Linked DNA regions of Callithrix jacchus. The protein of the gene in region 1 purifies or fractionates together with the protein of each later gene. This does not show direct contact. Links are inferred from orthologs where the notes say so. Each region holds a gene or a part of one and is shown on either strand. Other genes may lie near its edges. The genes, in order: CDH2 and CTNNA1.

Region 1 (5,798 bases):
CCTCGAGTCCATCCAGGTAGCCCTAGACACTAGATTTTTTGAGTGGATGTTTTTATATGTCTTCTAGTCAGTCTGTTTGCTGCCATTCATATATCCATCTCTGTCAGTCTTCCTTTTTATAATTCTCTGCTTCTGTTTGCCATAGGCTTAATTTTGTTCATAAATTGAGATAAGTGAGTAGTGAGCTTCAGGGTGTGGGTTTTGGAACATATACGTGGCATCTTTTTTTCCTTTCTGAGTTTCTGGCTGGTTTCTAATTGGTTAAGATTAATAGATAAGGGTGTTTTTCAGATAAGAAATATAAAGGGGACTTACATAAACTTGGCGAGGGGTTTATATTGCTTTGTTAGCTCTTAGTATGATGTGTGTTTCAGACTTCGCGCTCTGGAATTCTACAGGACCCCCGGGTACATACTCCAGCTTTCCCACTTTGAATCTGTGGGATTGGCATGGGATTTTAAATATATGTTTCCTTTTTTGTTGTTGTTAAAGACAACCACCATTTAAGACTCCACCACTTAAAGAGTGTGTGGCCATGAGCCGGTATCACTAGAGATAGGTATCAGTGCCTAATTCACAGTGTTTTAACTGAGATATAATGACTTTTATATATATATGTGAAACATTTGAAACAGTGGCTGACACAAACTAACCACTCAAATAAGTATTCCTATTGTGTATTAATAGTTTCAAAACTGAACCACATATTATTTTAAATATTTTAACATTTTCATGTTTATGAATATGAATGTTGGTATTTAATAAAAAAATAGCAGGCTTCAATTTGGTGGTTGAATTTGATGTTTACAATTTTCAAATGCAAAATATTTTACATTATAAAAATATATCAATACTTTCGATAAGAATAATATCAATGAACTTTTCTAAATACTTATACTAAAATTTAATGAGATTACTAGCTATAGAAAATCTGTATAGTGATGGCCAAAGAAATATTTCTTCTCCTTTCCAGTATGGGACCTCCTGTTTAATATTTAGTGTTGGAACTTTGTAGGAATAGCTTTTGCCATTTTACATCAAAGCATAGCATTAGTACCTGTTTTATGCTTTTTTTTTTTGCCTTAAATAAACAGTAGTTTTCTTCTACAGTAGAACTGAAAGTAATATATCTTGAATCATTATGTTGAGATCCAAAGAGCCATAAAATTATATGTATGTATGTTGGGTGTGAGTTACAACCAGATTTATTTATTCACCAAGGAAGATTGTTTTCTAATTGAAAGGGCTTTTGATAAGAGAGAGAAGTGACCTGTTAAATGTATGTAGCTGTGATGCTTTGAAAGTGCACTTTACTTTAAGTGACAAGGCTAGATTTGGAGCCCCAACTATGTTCCTTAATGATTAGGCAAGCTCTTACATGCCGTATGCCTTAGTTTCATTATTGATAAATTCTTTCGCTACTTAAACTTATTCTATATAGTTGTTATAAAAGTATAATAAATATTAAATGTGATCATAAATTTAAAATCCCTCAAACTTACTGTTGAATATCATAGTGGTCATAGTGGTGTTATAACAGCCACTATACCCCTCCAGTTCAGCTCTCCCTGCTCTTAGAACTATCATGTTCCTCATAGAAGTTGATAGAGATTTCCCCTTATTCCCTCCCCAGGATTGTGTATGTATGTGTACCTTCCTAGTTACGTGATCTTTGACAGGTCACTTAAATCTCTGGTCTTCATTGTATAGCATTCTTTATAAAATATTCATAAATATTATATATATATATGCATGTGTGAATATTTACAATATAGCAGAAGCAAAACACCAGACTAAATTATCACATGAAGTGGTGGAGACAGCATTTTATTATAGTGGAATGAGAATGGGTTTGAGGTCAGGCCGACCCATCTTTAGTAACAACTCCACCACTTAAAGAGTGTGTGGCCATGAGCAGTTTACAGACTTAGGTTCATCTGTTTAAACCTGTGTCATAGGATTACGATGAAAATGCACGTAGAGCTGCCTAATATGATCTAAAAGCAAGTAGTTGGTTAGTAAATACCATTTCTCTTCTGCATGATGTTTCTGAGTTGAGGTCTGTGGTTCTGTATCACTTGTCTGTAGACTGGTTCAATAAGTCATAGCTGTGTTGGAGTGTTAAAAAGCATTATTACGTTCTTTCATGCACGTGTCTTGGTTCTCCATAAAAAGAGTAGAGTTCACAGGATTATGAGCCCTGTGTTTGCATCCCCAACATTCCTCACAGTGCCTGGAGCAGCATGGTCTGTGCAAGCCCTGACTAATGAACAGAAGGGGCAGGGAAGGTGTGAGATTCCATAGCAGGGGCATTCTTCATCACCTTGCTCAGACTCTGCAGAGCAGCAGTGGCAGCTCAGGGTCATTCTAGGAGGGAAGCAAGAAGTGGCTTTGTTTTGGAAATGGTCTGCCCAGATGCCTCAGCAACTATATTTTTCCAAGGTTACACAGTCATAAGGGCCTGAATTTCACCATAATTGAGGTTCATTGGAGAGAACTGTTCAGCATCGGTTTGTGATTTTTCTCTCTTTTAAGGAATTCCTCCTATGAGTGGAACAGGAACGCTGCAGATCTATTTACTTGATATTAATGACAATGCCCCTCAAGTGTTACCTCAAGAGGCAGAGACTTGCGAAACTCCAGACCCCAATTCAATTAACATTACAGCACTTGATTATGACATTGATCCAAATGCTGGACCATTTGCTTTTGATCTTCCTTTATCTCCAGTGAATATTAAGAGAAATTGGACCATCACTCGGCTTAATGGTAAGAACAGGTTAATTATTTGAATATATGTGCAGTTGAGAGATTTTGAAGCCTGGCATGAAAAGTTAATTTTTATGTGCTCTGTAATCTTCTCATTATACATATTTTTAAAGCTGCTTAAAGTTTAAGTAAGATTAAGTTTAAAGGCCTTTAAAGCCAAAAAAGTATTTTTAATGCATCATAGTTGTAATCCACTTTATGTGTACTCTTAGGTAGTAAATACATTCTGAACAATGCTGTGTTTTTTATAGCTTTAAGTATTGCCTGTCAAACTATCTTTTTCCTTTTTCATATAGGGGACTTTGCTCAGCTTAATTTAAAGATAAAGTTTCTTGAAGCTGGTATCTATGAAGTTCCCATCATAATCACAGATTCGGGTAATCCTCCCAAATCAAATATTTCCATCTTGCGCGTGAAGGTTTGCCAGTGTGACTCCAATGGGGACTGCACAGATGTGGACAGGATTGTGGGTGCAGGGCTTGGCACCGGTGCCATCATTGCCATCCTGCTCTGCATCATCATCCTGCTTAGTGAGTACTTTTATTGTCTTTTAGATTTCAATTCTCTTGGCTTCTAGGGTGTTCAGCAAAGTCACTTGTTGCTATTGCCTGGCAAAGTAGTCTCACAACCCTTTGACCTCTCAGCATTTCCTTGCCAATCATATATGGTCGGCCGAGTCCACTTTAGAATGAAAAAATCCCCGAGCGTTGTTTCAAGCACTTGAGGTTTGCAACAAGCCTCCTCAGCATGCCTCTTCCGTGCCCTCTTACTCTTTCTGATGCTGATTGCTTAGGAAACTGTAGTAAACTCTTTTCATAGAAAAACATTACACAATCCCAAGTTTGAGCACGATTCTTATGATTTGAGTATGAAATTATGGCACATAGTTGATGATTTGGGAAAATAAATATATTGCTTTCCTTTACCTTCCTTCATATAAAGCACAGTCAGCAGTGCTCCAGTCATGAGAAGATCAAGGTATTTGTTTCTGAAGGGCTGTGTAAAAGTGAGAGATTGCACTTCATATACAGCACATTTGATAATAGAAATGATTACACAGCTCAATAAATTGTCTTTAGAGTAAGTGTAGATTAAGGAATTGCTTCTTTTTAAGGTACTTTGCAATCTTTGGTTCAGTGGAATGCAAGAAATTAACCACTGGAAAGTACTTTAGGAACCACTTCTAAGCTTACAGGTTGAAAGAATAAATTGCATGGGCCCTGTGTTTTATTGTGAAATAGCAGCAGGACTTAGTTTATTGTGCGGTCATGCTATGCACCAATCACTTTCTTGAAAATGTTGGCTATTTCTTTTATGTTTTCTCCGTTTACAAGTGTTCTGGTAATTTAGAATTCTATCACTTTATTCTAAGCAATTACTATAGAAGTCGGAGCCTTTTTTACTTCCTATATGGAGACTACTTTGGCTATAATTTGCAACCTGCATGCTATACTAATAATCCGCTTGCTAGATTTAGCCCTGGAACAATAGCAAATGAGATCATGTTATCTGGCTCTAAAAGGAGGATATTTGCTTTTATGGCCAATAATAAAAATGTACTCCAATAGGAGTCATTAAATCTTTTGCTTCAGGATGTATACTGATACTCCCAGATTTTAGACAGAATTTGTTCCTAGATGTGCACTTAGGGATATGTTTCCATTTCAGCTGAAATGTGGCATAGATGCCAGTCTTATCCAGAAAGACTTAGGTATGACAGATTATGGCAATGAAGAAGTAACTGGCATTTTGAAGGAAACTGAATTGGTGCTGATTTTAACATCAAATCCCTGGAAAATGTATGGTTCTAGACCTGGCACAAAGTGTAAAACATTAAAGTCGAATGTTATTTCAGTGTTTAAACGAATCCCCTAGGCTTCTTAGCTGAAGCATGCGCCAGCCTCTGGGAATCAAAACCTCAAGATCCAGTTCCTGACTTAGTTCCAATTTACTACCAGGTCATCTGGGCAAGCTTTGTCTTCCTGGAGAAGTGATGTTTTCTGTGAATTTGGGATTGTAATAATGACTGACCAACCTAGATAACACAGCAAGTAACAACTTGTTGCTGTTTGTGTCTCTAGAATGTACAAATCACTATTAAGGGCAACTATCCTCTAGCAAGCCAAAAGGAAAATAGAAAAAGTTACTGTCCCTGTATGTGGATGGTGAAACTGAACAAGGATGATCTACTTCTCAAGTGAGTGTGCAGGACACTAGGGATGGGAGCCCAGGCCTTCGCACTCTTAACTCCAGTGCTTCGGCCTGCTTTGTCTTGTCTCTCTTTAAGGTCAGAAATTGATAGTAGAGTGAAAGATGCATTACAACCTTTTAGCCCATTTAAGTATAAATTATCATCACTGAATACAGTGGCTAGATAGGCCAGGCTTTAAAAATGGCAATATTATGTATTTTTACTATTTTTCTCCCTAGTCCTTGTGCTGATGTTTGTGGTATGGATGAAACGCCGGGATAAAGAACGCCAGGCCAAACAACTCTTAATTGATCCAGAAGATGATGTAAGAGACAATATTTTAAAATATGACGAAGAAGGTGGAGGAGAAGAAGACCAGGTGAGCAATGCTTTAAATCTTTAAACGAAAATTTTATGGTCATATAAATATAATAGTGAGAAGTGTTAATACTTCAGTGAGAAAATTGTATCAGGTTTCCCTCCTGTTATCAGTCATTTGGTGAATTGTTTCCTATGTGTGTTGACTATTTCTCAAATTTTTTTCAAAGTACCAAACGTCATTGTGTTTATTTTGTAAAAAAAAAAAATAAAAATTAACATTTGTTTCAAAGGATTTAAACCCAATTCTGGTTAAATCTGTGTAATGATAAATCTATTTTTCTTTATAGTTTCTCTTCATTAGATATCCAAAATATAAATAAAGTGTCTTCTACTTTGGGATCTAGATATTTATATGTATGGTAGAAAAACCACTAAGACTATTTATTCCACAAGTATTTACCAAATAAATTCAGTATTTTAATCCTGAAGATACCTCCATGGGCAGAGTTAACAAATA
Region 2 (6,592 bases), on another chromosome or scaffold:
CATGAGAATTCCCTTAGTATTGGGAGGACAGCACCAAGCTGTCAGGAATCCTCCTCCATGACCCAAACACCTCCCACCAGCCCCACCTTCAACACTGGGGATTACAGTTCAACATGAGATTTGGGCAGGGACAAACGTCCAAAATATATCAATTATGTTCTGAGTTAGCCAGGTTAAGTAGGGGGGCGCCAAAGCCACCCTAGGCAGAGGGGACTACAGGAGCAAAAACCCTGCAGCCAGAAACAGGACAGGGGTAGTTGGACAAGAATGACCTTGTCAGGGTTTGCCTTTCCCTTTTTTTTTTTTTTTTTTGAGACCGAGTCTCACTGTGTTGCTCAGGCTGGAGTGCAGTGGTGCATCATGGTTCACTGTAGCCTTGAACTCCCAAGCTCGAGTGATTCTGCCACCTTAGCCTCCCAAGTGGCTGGGACTACAGGTAGGTGCCACCACGTCCAACTATTTTTTTGTTTTTGTTTTGTAGAGATGGGGTTCTGTCATGTTGCTCAGGTTAGTCTCCTGAGCTCAGATGATCCACCCACCTTGGCCTCCTAAAGTGCTGGGGATTACTTACATGAGCCACTGTACCCAGCCTTTTTTTTTTTTTTTTTTGAGACGGAGTCTTGCTGTGTCACCAGGCTAGAGTGCAGTGGCACCATCTCAGCTCACTGTAACCTCCACCTCCTGGGTTCAAGCAATTCTGTCTCAGCCTCCCAAGTAGCTGGGACTACAGGTGCCCACCACCATGCCCACCTAATTTTTGTATTTTTAGTAGAAACAGGGTTTCACCATGTTGGCCAGGATGGTCTCAATCTCTTGACCTTGTGATCTGCCCGCCTCGGCCTACCAAAGTGCTGGGATTACAGGCGGGAGCCAAGGGGTCCCGCTGCCTCTTTTGCTTAAAAGTGGTTCTCTCCCCACTTCATAGTCCTGTTGCCCTTTGTCAGCATCTCTTAACTAGCACAGGCCCACAGTGCTTTGAATTACAGTGGCACCTTCACCCACAAATGTTCACTGGGCACTCCTTAGGGGATGGGTGATGTGCTGGAAGCTGTAGGAGGTACAGCTCCTGCTTTCCAGCAGTTTGGATTCCCTTGGGGGAGAGGGAGATGTAAGGAGTAAAGGGTAAACATGGTGAGGGCAAGCCTCCCTAGCACTCTGCTCTCTGTTCAGCATAAGGCCAGCAGTGGACATTGTTGTCTTGCATTATTTCAGATTTATATGCCAATAATGAAATCCATCTTGTTCATTATCCCATGAGCAGGGGAAACAGCATTAGAGTTTTCTATACGAGGCTGATAGGGAACATGTAGTATTTTTTGTTTTTTGTGTTATTTTGCTTTGTAATTTTTTGTTTTTTGGAGTATTCACCATGAAGATAAGAAAAGGTGAGAATAAAGTTCCCTAAATGACTGGAGGGATAGAGATACAAGTCAGATCCCTCAGATTTGGTGGTGGTGGTGGTGGGGGGAACAAGCTCGGAGGGGGGGAACAAGCTGGGAGGGGAGGATGAGCTCTTGGGGTGGGACGGGAACAAGCTCAATAAGGGACATCTGCTGTGGTGCCTCTCTCTTTTGTGTTTCTTTTGTAAATGTCCTCCCCGCAAGGTGGCTCACGCCTGTAATCCCAGCACTTTGGGAGGCTGAGGAGGATATATTGAGTCCATGAGTTTGAGACCAGTGTGAGTGTGCAGTTCCAGTTACTCCGGAGGCTGAGGTGGGGAGGGTCGGTTGTCCAGTAATTTGAGGTTGCAGTGAGCGGTGATCGCGACACTGCACACCAGCCTAGGAGACAGAGGAAGATCCTGCCTTAAAAACAAAGAGAAAAAAAAAAAAAAGAAAAAAGCCGGGCGCGGTGGCTCATTCCTGTAATCCCAGCACTTTGGGAGGCCGAGGCGGGCGGATCACGAGGTCAGCAGATCGAGACTTGGCCAACAACGTGAAACCCCGTCCCTACTAAAAACACAAAAAAATTAGCCGGGCGTGGTGGCAAGCGCCGGTAGTCCCAGCTACTCTGGAGGCTGAGACAAGAGTATCGCCTGAACCTGTGAGGCAGAAGTTGCAGTGAGCCGAGATCGCGCCACTGCACTCCAGGCTTCGCGACAGTGAGTCTCCGTCTCAAAAAGAAGAAGAAAAAAGAAATGTCCTTAATTAAGAGGGCTTCGGGTGTCCGCATCTGTGGAGTGAGGGGACGGGTTACGTGAATTCTCGAGGCGCTTCCACCTCACATTATGAAAGGTCGTTAGAGTCACATCCTAGTTTCACTCTGTCCCGAAGCAGTGGGGCCTTTCCTTGGCCTCCGCTTCCTCTTCTGTAAACAAGAGAGTGGGCTTAGATCACTTTTCTAGGAGCCTGTGGCTCCGGGACATCTGTGACACTCTTGCGGGGCGCGTGCCCAGGACCCCGCGTCGCAGCGGCGCATCTCTGGGACTCGGCCGGTGTAGGGGGCCGCGCCCGGAGCCTCACCTGTGCTCGGAGCCGTGACTCACCTGCCCTCCCCCGTCCTCCCAGCCCGCGGGCTGTTCCAGGAGTTATCGCTCCTCCTTCCTCTCCGGGTCACTCCTGGCCTAAGCTCCCACCAGGGGTCGGGAAGGAAGGAATTCTGAGGTGGGCGGCGGAGAGGAAGAGGTCCCCCGGGGGTCCCGGGCCAGCGTCGCCAGACTCTTCGCGGTGGGGGCCCTAAGCGGAGACCGTAACGGCGGGGAAGAGCGGGCGGGTCAGCAGCGGGAGGCGCCGGGAAGAGCGGGCCGGAGGGAGGTGCCGGGAAGGGCGGGCGGGGCGGGGGCCGCGCGGGGGCGGGGGCAGGGGCGCGGGGCGGCCCATTTCCTTCTCGGAGCTGGACTGTAGGGAGACAAAGCAGCAGCCGTCGGCTTCGGGCCTCCGGTATCCAGCGCTCGCCCTACTCGCTGCAGGTAACTTTGCACCTCCCTCCCCGCGGGCGCGGGCTCTCTGGCCGGGCCGAGAGGGTCCTTGGGCCGGGCCGTCCCAAGCTGGGCCCCGCAAGCGGCGGGACGGTGGGCGGGCGGGGCGCGGTCTCTTCGTCGACGTCGCCGGGAATTGGGCTCCGGGCGGGCGTGGGTCCCGCGTCGGGCCGGCTGCCCCTTTCCCCGCGGGGTCCGAGCCTGGGACCCGGGCAGGCGCGGCCGGCACTTCCCGGCGCTCGGGGTGTCGGGGGGCCGCGGCGGCTGGGGAGGAGAAGCCACATACCCAGTGCCGCCGCCGCGTTTCCTCTTGGAAAAGTTTTCTCGCGGTTTCCAAACTTTGTTGCCGCGGCCTCCGCGCGCGCGCGCGCGCCTGCCCTGCACCGGGCCCCTCGGCCGCCTTCCTTCCCTGGGGCGGCGCGTCTGGGAGCCGCTTTCCGGGGAAGTGATTGTCGTCTGGTTCTGAGGCTTCCCTGCCCCCTCCCCCTCCCCAGCCGCCGAGACTTCCCCGTGGGGCGGCGGCGCGGACGCTGGCTCCGCGAAGCTGGAGGCCGGAGGCCAGAGCCCGGGCATCTCCCAGACATCCTCGGTACAGCGTGCCACACCCGTGTGGACTTTTGGCGTGACCGTCCACCTGGACTCAGGGATTACTCAGCCTTCCTAGGTTTCTTGTCGGTTGGACGCACTTCGCTTTCGGCCCTAGTTTTCGGGAGTGGCATTCGAGATTTTTTTTTTTTTTAATTGTTGACTTTTAAAGGAGCGGGTATGTGCGTGCGAATGTGAAGCACTTGTTGGAAAAAATGTTGCCTGAATGAATGCCTGACCTTTGCTTGGCTGCAGTGGCTTCCCAGTAATGCAGGCAGCGGTTGGCCCAGTTCCAGGGTTGACTCCCTCTTATGTCTTCCTGCATCTTGGTCAACATTTTTTTTTTTTGGTGCCTGTGTTCTGTACATAATTTACAGTTATTTGGAAAAGAGCGAGATATGTTAAGTCTCCAACTAAATTCGGGGCATTTTATATTTATGATGAAGGAAATGCTTACATCATTGTATTGTTGGGACAGGATAGGCATTTTGTGGAGTGGTTATTTGTGTTTAGTTAGAAGTGATTTTTTAAAGACCGGACAGGTGGGTGTTACTTTAAGGAACAGAGTTTGTAAATCAAATTAATTAGGATGTGTTATTTTGTTTTACAGGAGGAATGAGTCTAGGAATTATCCATAGTTTCTGCCTTATTATTTATCATCTGGACTTTTTTTTTTTTTGAGACAGAGTCTTGCTTCGTCGCCAGGCACCTGGCTGGAGTGCAGTGGTGCGATGTTGGTTCACTGCAACCTCTGCCTCCCAGGTTCAAGCTGTTCTCCTGCCTCAGCCTCCGGAGTAGCTGGGACTACAGGCGCATGCCACATGCCCAGCTAATCTTTGTGTTTTTAGTAGAAACGGGGTTTCACCATGTTGGCCAGGATGGTCTCGATCTCTTGACCTCGTGATCCGCCTGCCTCGGCCTCCCAAAGTGTTGGGATTACAGGAGTGAGCCACCGGGCCCAGCTCCATCTGGACTTTCGAACAGACTTTTTTTTTTTTTTAAAGAAAGGTCTCAGTCCGTTGCCTGGGTTGAAGTGCAGTGGCACGATCACAGCTCACTGTGGCCTCTGTCTCCTGGGCTCAAGTGATCCTCCCACCTCAGCTTTCCATGTAGCTGAGAGTACAGGCACGCGCCACCACACTCGGCTAATTTTTGTATTTTTGGTAGAGATGGGGTCTCTGTCTTGGCCACATTGGTCTCGAAATCCTGGGCTTAAGTGATCCTTTTGCCTCAGTCTACCAAAGTGTTGTGATTACAGGCCTGAGCCAGGGCACTTGGCCCCATCTGGATTTTTATTCAGTTAAAGAATAATTTTTTAATCTGCTTTAGAGTTCACAGTATAATAGAGGAGGCACACACACCTGGTATAGTACAGAGAGACTGCAGTAAGTGCCAGTCTCTCTGTTAAACTAATAGTTTCGTTAGTATAATAGTACTAATGAAACTGTTTTAGCTACTGTGTGAATCGAATCTTACCTAATGCTAACGAAAGAAACTTGTGGAGGCACTGAGAGGGGCCAGCCAATAAGTTTTATTTGAATAAGTCCAGAAAGGCTTCCAGGAGGTGATGGCATTTGATATGGATGAAACATGAGTTACGTTTTTTTAAATGAAGGGAGAAAGTCATGAGAAGTATAAAAGAGCATAGGAATTGAGGAATTGTGGTATCACTCTCCTGATTTTCTTTTCCTTTTTGGCTCATCTCAGTTTCTCTTTTTTTTCCTTGCCATCACTCTTTCCTCTCATACCAGGGGTTCTTTCCAATGTCTCATTGTTCTCTGCACCACTGATGTGGCATCACCTTCATTCCCATCAGTGATACTTAGTTCATACAGTGGCTTAGAGATGAGAGGTGCCTTCTTCCAAGATGAGAATCACTGCTCTGTGCAGCCTCTTCTCAGCCTTATATACTAAAAGCCTGAGCTTTTATTTTAGTGCAGATGTGTCTCCTGATGCACATGGTCACCAGACCCAGTCTGGTCTCAAAATCCTGGGCTCAAATGAGCCCCCTGCCTCACCTGGATATAATTTTTAAAAAATGTAATTCCTAAGGAAAAAAAAATTAATTCCTAAAAAGTCATAGTAAGCAATGAAGTTACGTGGTGTTGCTTGTGATTGTTATTATTACTGTTTTTGAGACAGAGTCTCTGTTGCCCAGGCTATAGTACAGTGGCAAAATCTTGGCTCACTGCAACCACTGCCTCCTGGGTTCAATCGATTTTCCTGCCTCAATCTCCTGAGTAGCTGGGATTACAGGCATCTGGTACCACACCCAGCTAATTTTTGTATTTTTAGTAGACATAAGGTTTCACCATGTTGGCCAGGCTGGTCTTGAATTCCTGACCTCAGGTGATCCACCTGCCTCGGCCTCCCAAACTGCTGGGATTACAGGCGTGAGCCACTACACTGACCCTATTATTGTTAATTTGCCATTGATTATATGTCTGTTACCTGATAAATTATGATTCATCCCATCCTCCCTCTTTTCCCCTCCCTCCCTCTTCCCCTCTCCCCCATCCCAGGCTGGTCTTAAAATCCTGGACTCAAATGATCCGCCTCGCCTGGAAATAATTTTAAAAAAACGTAATTCCTAAAAGGCCATAATAAGCAATGGAGTTATGTGGTGGGGTGTGTCCTGTTGTTAATTTGCCATTGATTATATGTCTATGCTGATGAACTATAATAACATGAATAACATGCTCTTAGGAGTTTTTGTTTTTGAGATGGAGTCTTTCTCTGTCTCCCAGGTTGGAGTGCAATGACGTGATCTTGGCTGACTGCAACCTCTGCCTCCTGGGTTCAAGTGATTTTCCTGCCTCAGCTTCCCGAGTAGCTGGGATTACAGGTGCCCCCCACCATGCCTGGCTAATTTTGTATTTTTAGTAGAGATGGGGTTTCTCCCTGTTGGTTAGGCAGGTTTCGAACTCCTGACCTCAGGTGATGCGCTTGCCTTGGCCTGCAAAAGTGTTGGGATTACAGGCATGAGCCATAGTGCCTGGCCGGGAGTTTTTAATCTTATGAGACTCAGACTGAAAGTTTGAACTTTTGTTATCTGTGTAATGAATAAGATGATTTATAAAGGATATTTTA

Evidence for each region.
Region 2: the proteins of CDH2 (region 1) and CTNNA1 purify together in Homo sapiens (affinity purification with mass spectrometry; 4 studies listed by BioGRID and IntAct, with this or other methods). This does not show direct contact. The link is inferred for Callithrix jacchus from reciprocal best matches to the Homo sapiens genes CDH2 and CTNNA1.

Annotation. Positions count from the first base shown.
Region 1 is NC_133514.1:71,233,611-71,239,408, reverse strand, and holds part of CDH2 (cadherin-2), read left to right. Parts: intron 1-2,535; coding exon 2,536-2,769; intron 2,770-3,065; coding exon 3,066-3,299; intron 3,300-5,199; coding exon 5,200-5,339; intron 5,340-5,798. UniProt on the Homo sapiens protein: Calcium-dependent cell adhesion protein; preferentially mediates homotypic cell-cell adhesion by dimerization with a CDH2 chain from another cell. Cadherins may thus contribute to the sorting of heterogeneous cell types.
Region 2 is NC_133503.1:37,149,057-37,155,648, forward strand, and holds the start of CTNNA1 (catenin alpha-1), read left to right. Parts: upstream 1-2,828; 5' UTR 2,829-2,908; intron 2,909-3,416; exon of another isoform or gene 3,417-3,680; intron 3,681-6,592. UniProt on the Homo sapiens protein: Associates with the cytoplasmic domain of a variety of cadherins. The association of catenins to cadherins produces a complex which is linked to the actin filament network, and which seems to be of primary importance for cadherins cell-adhesion properties.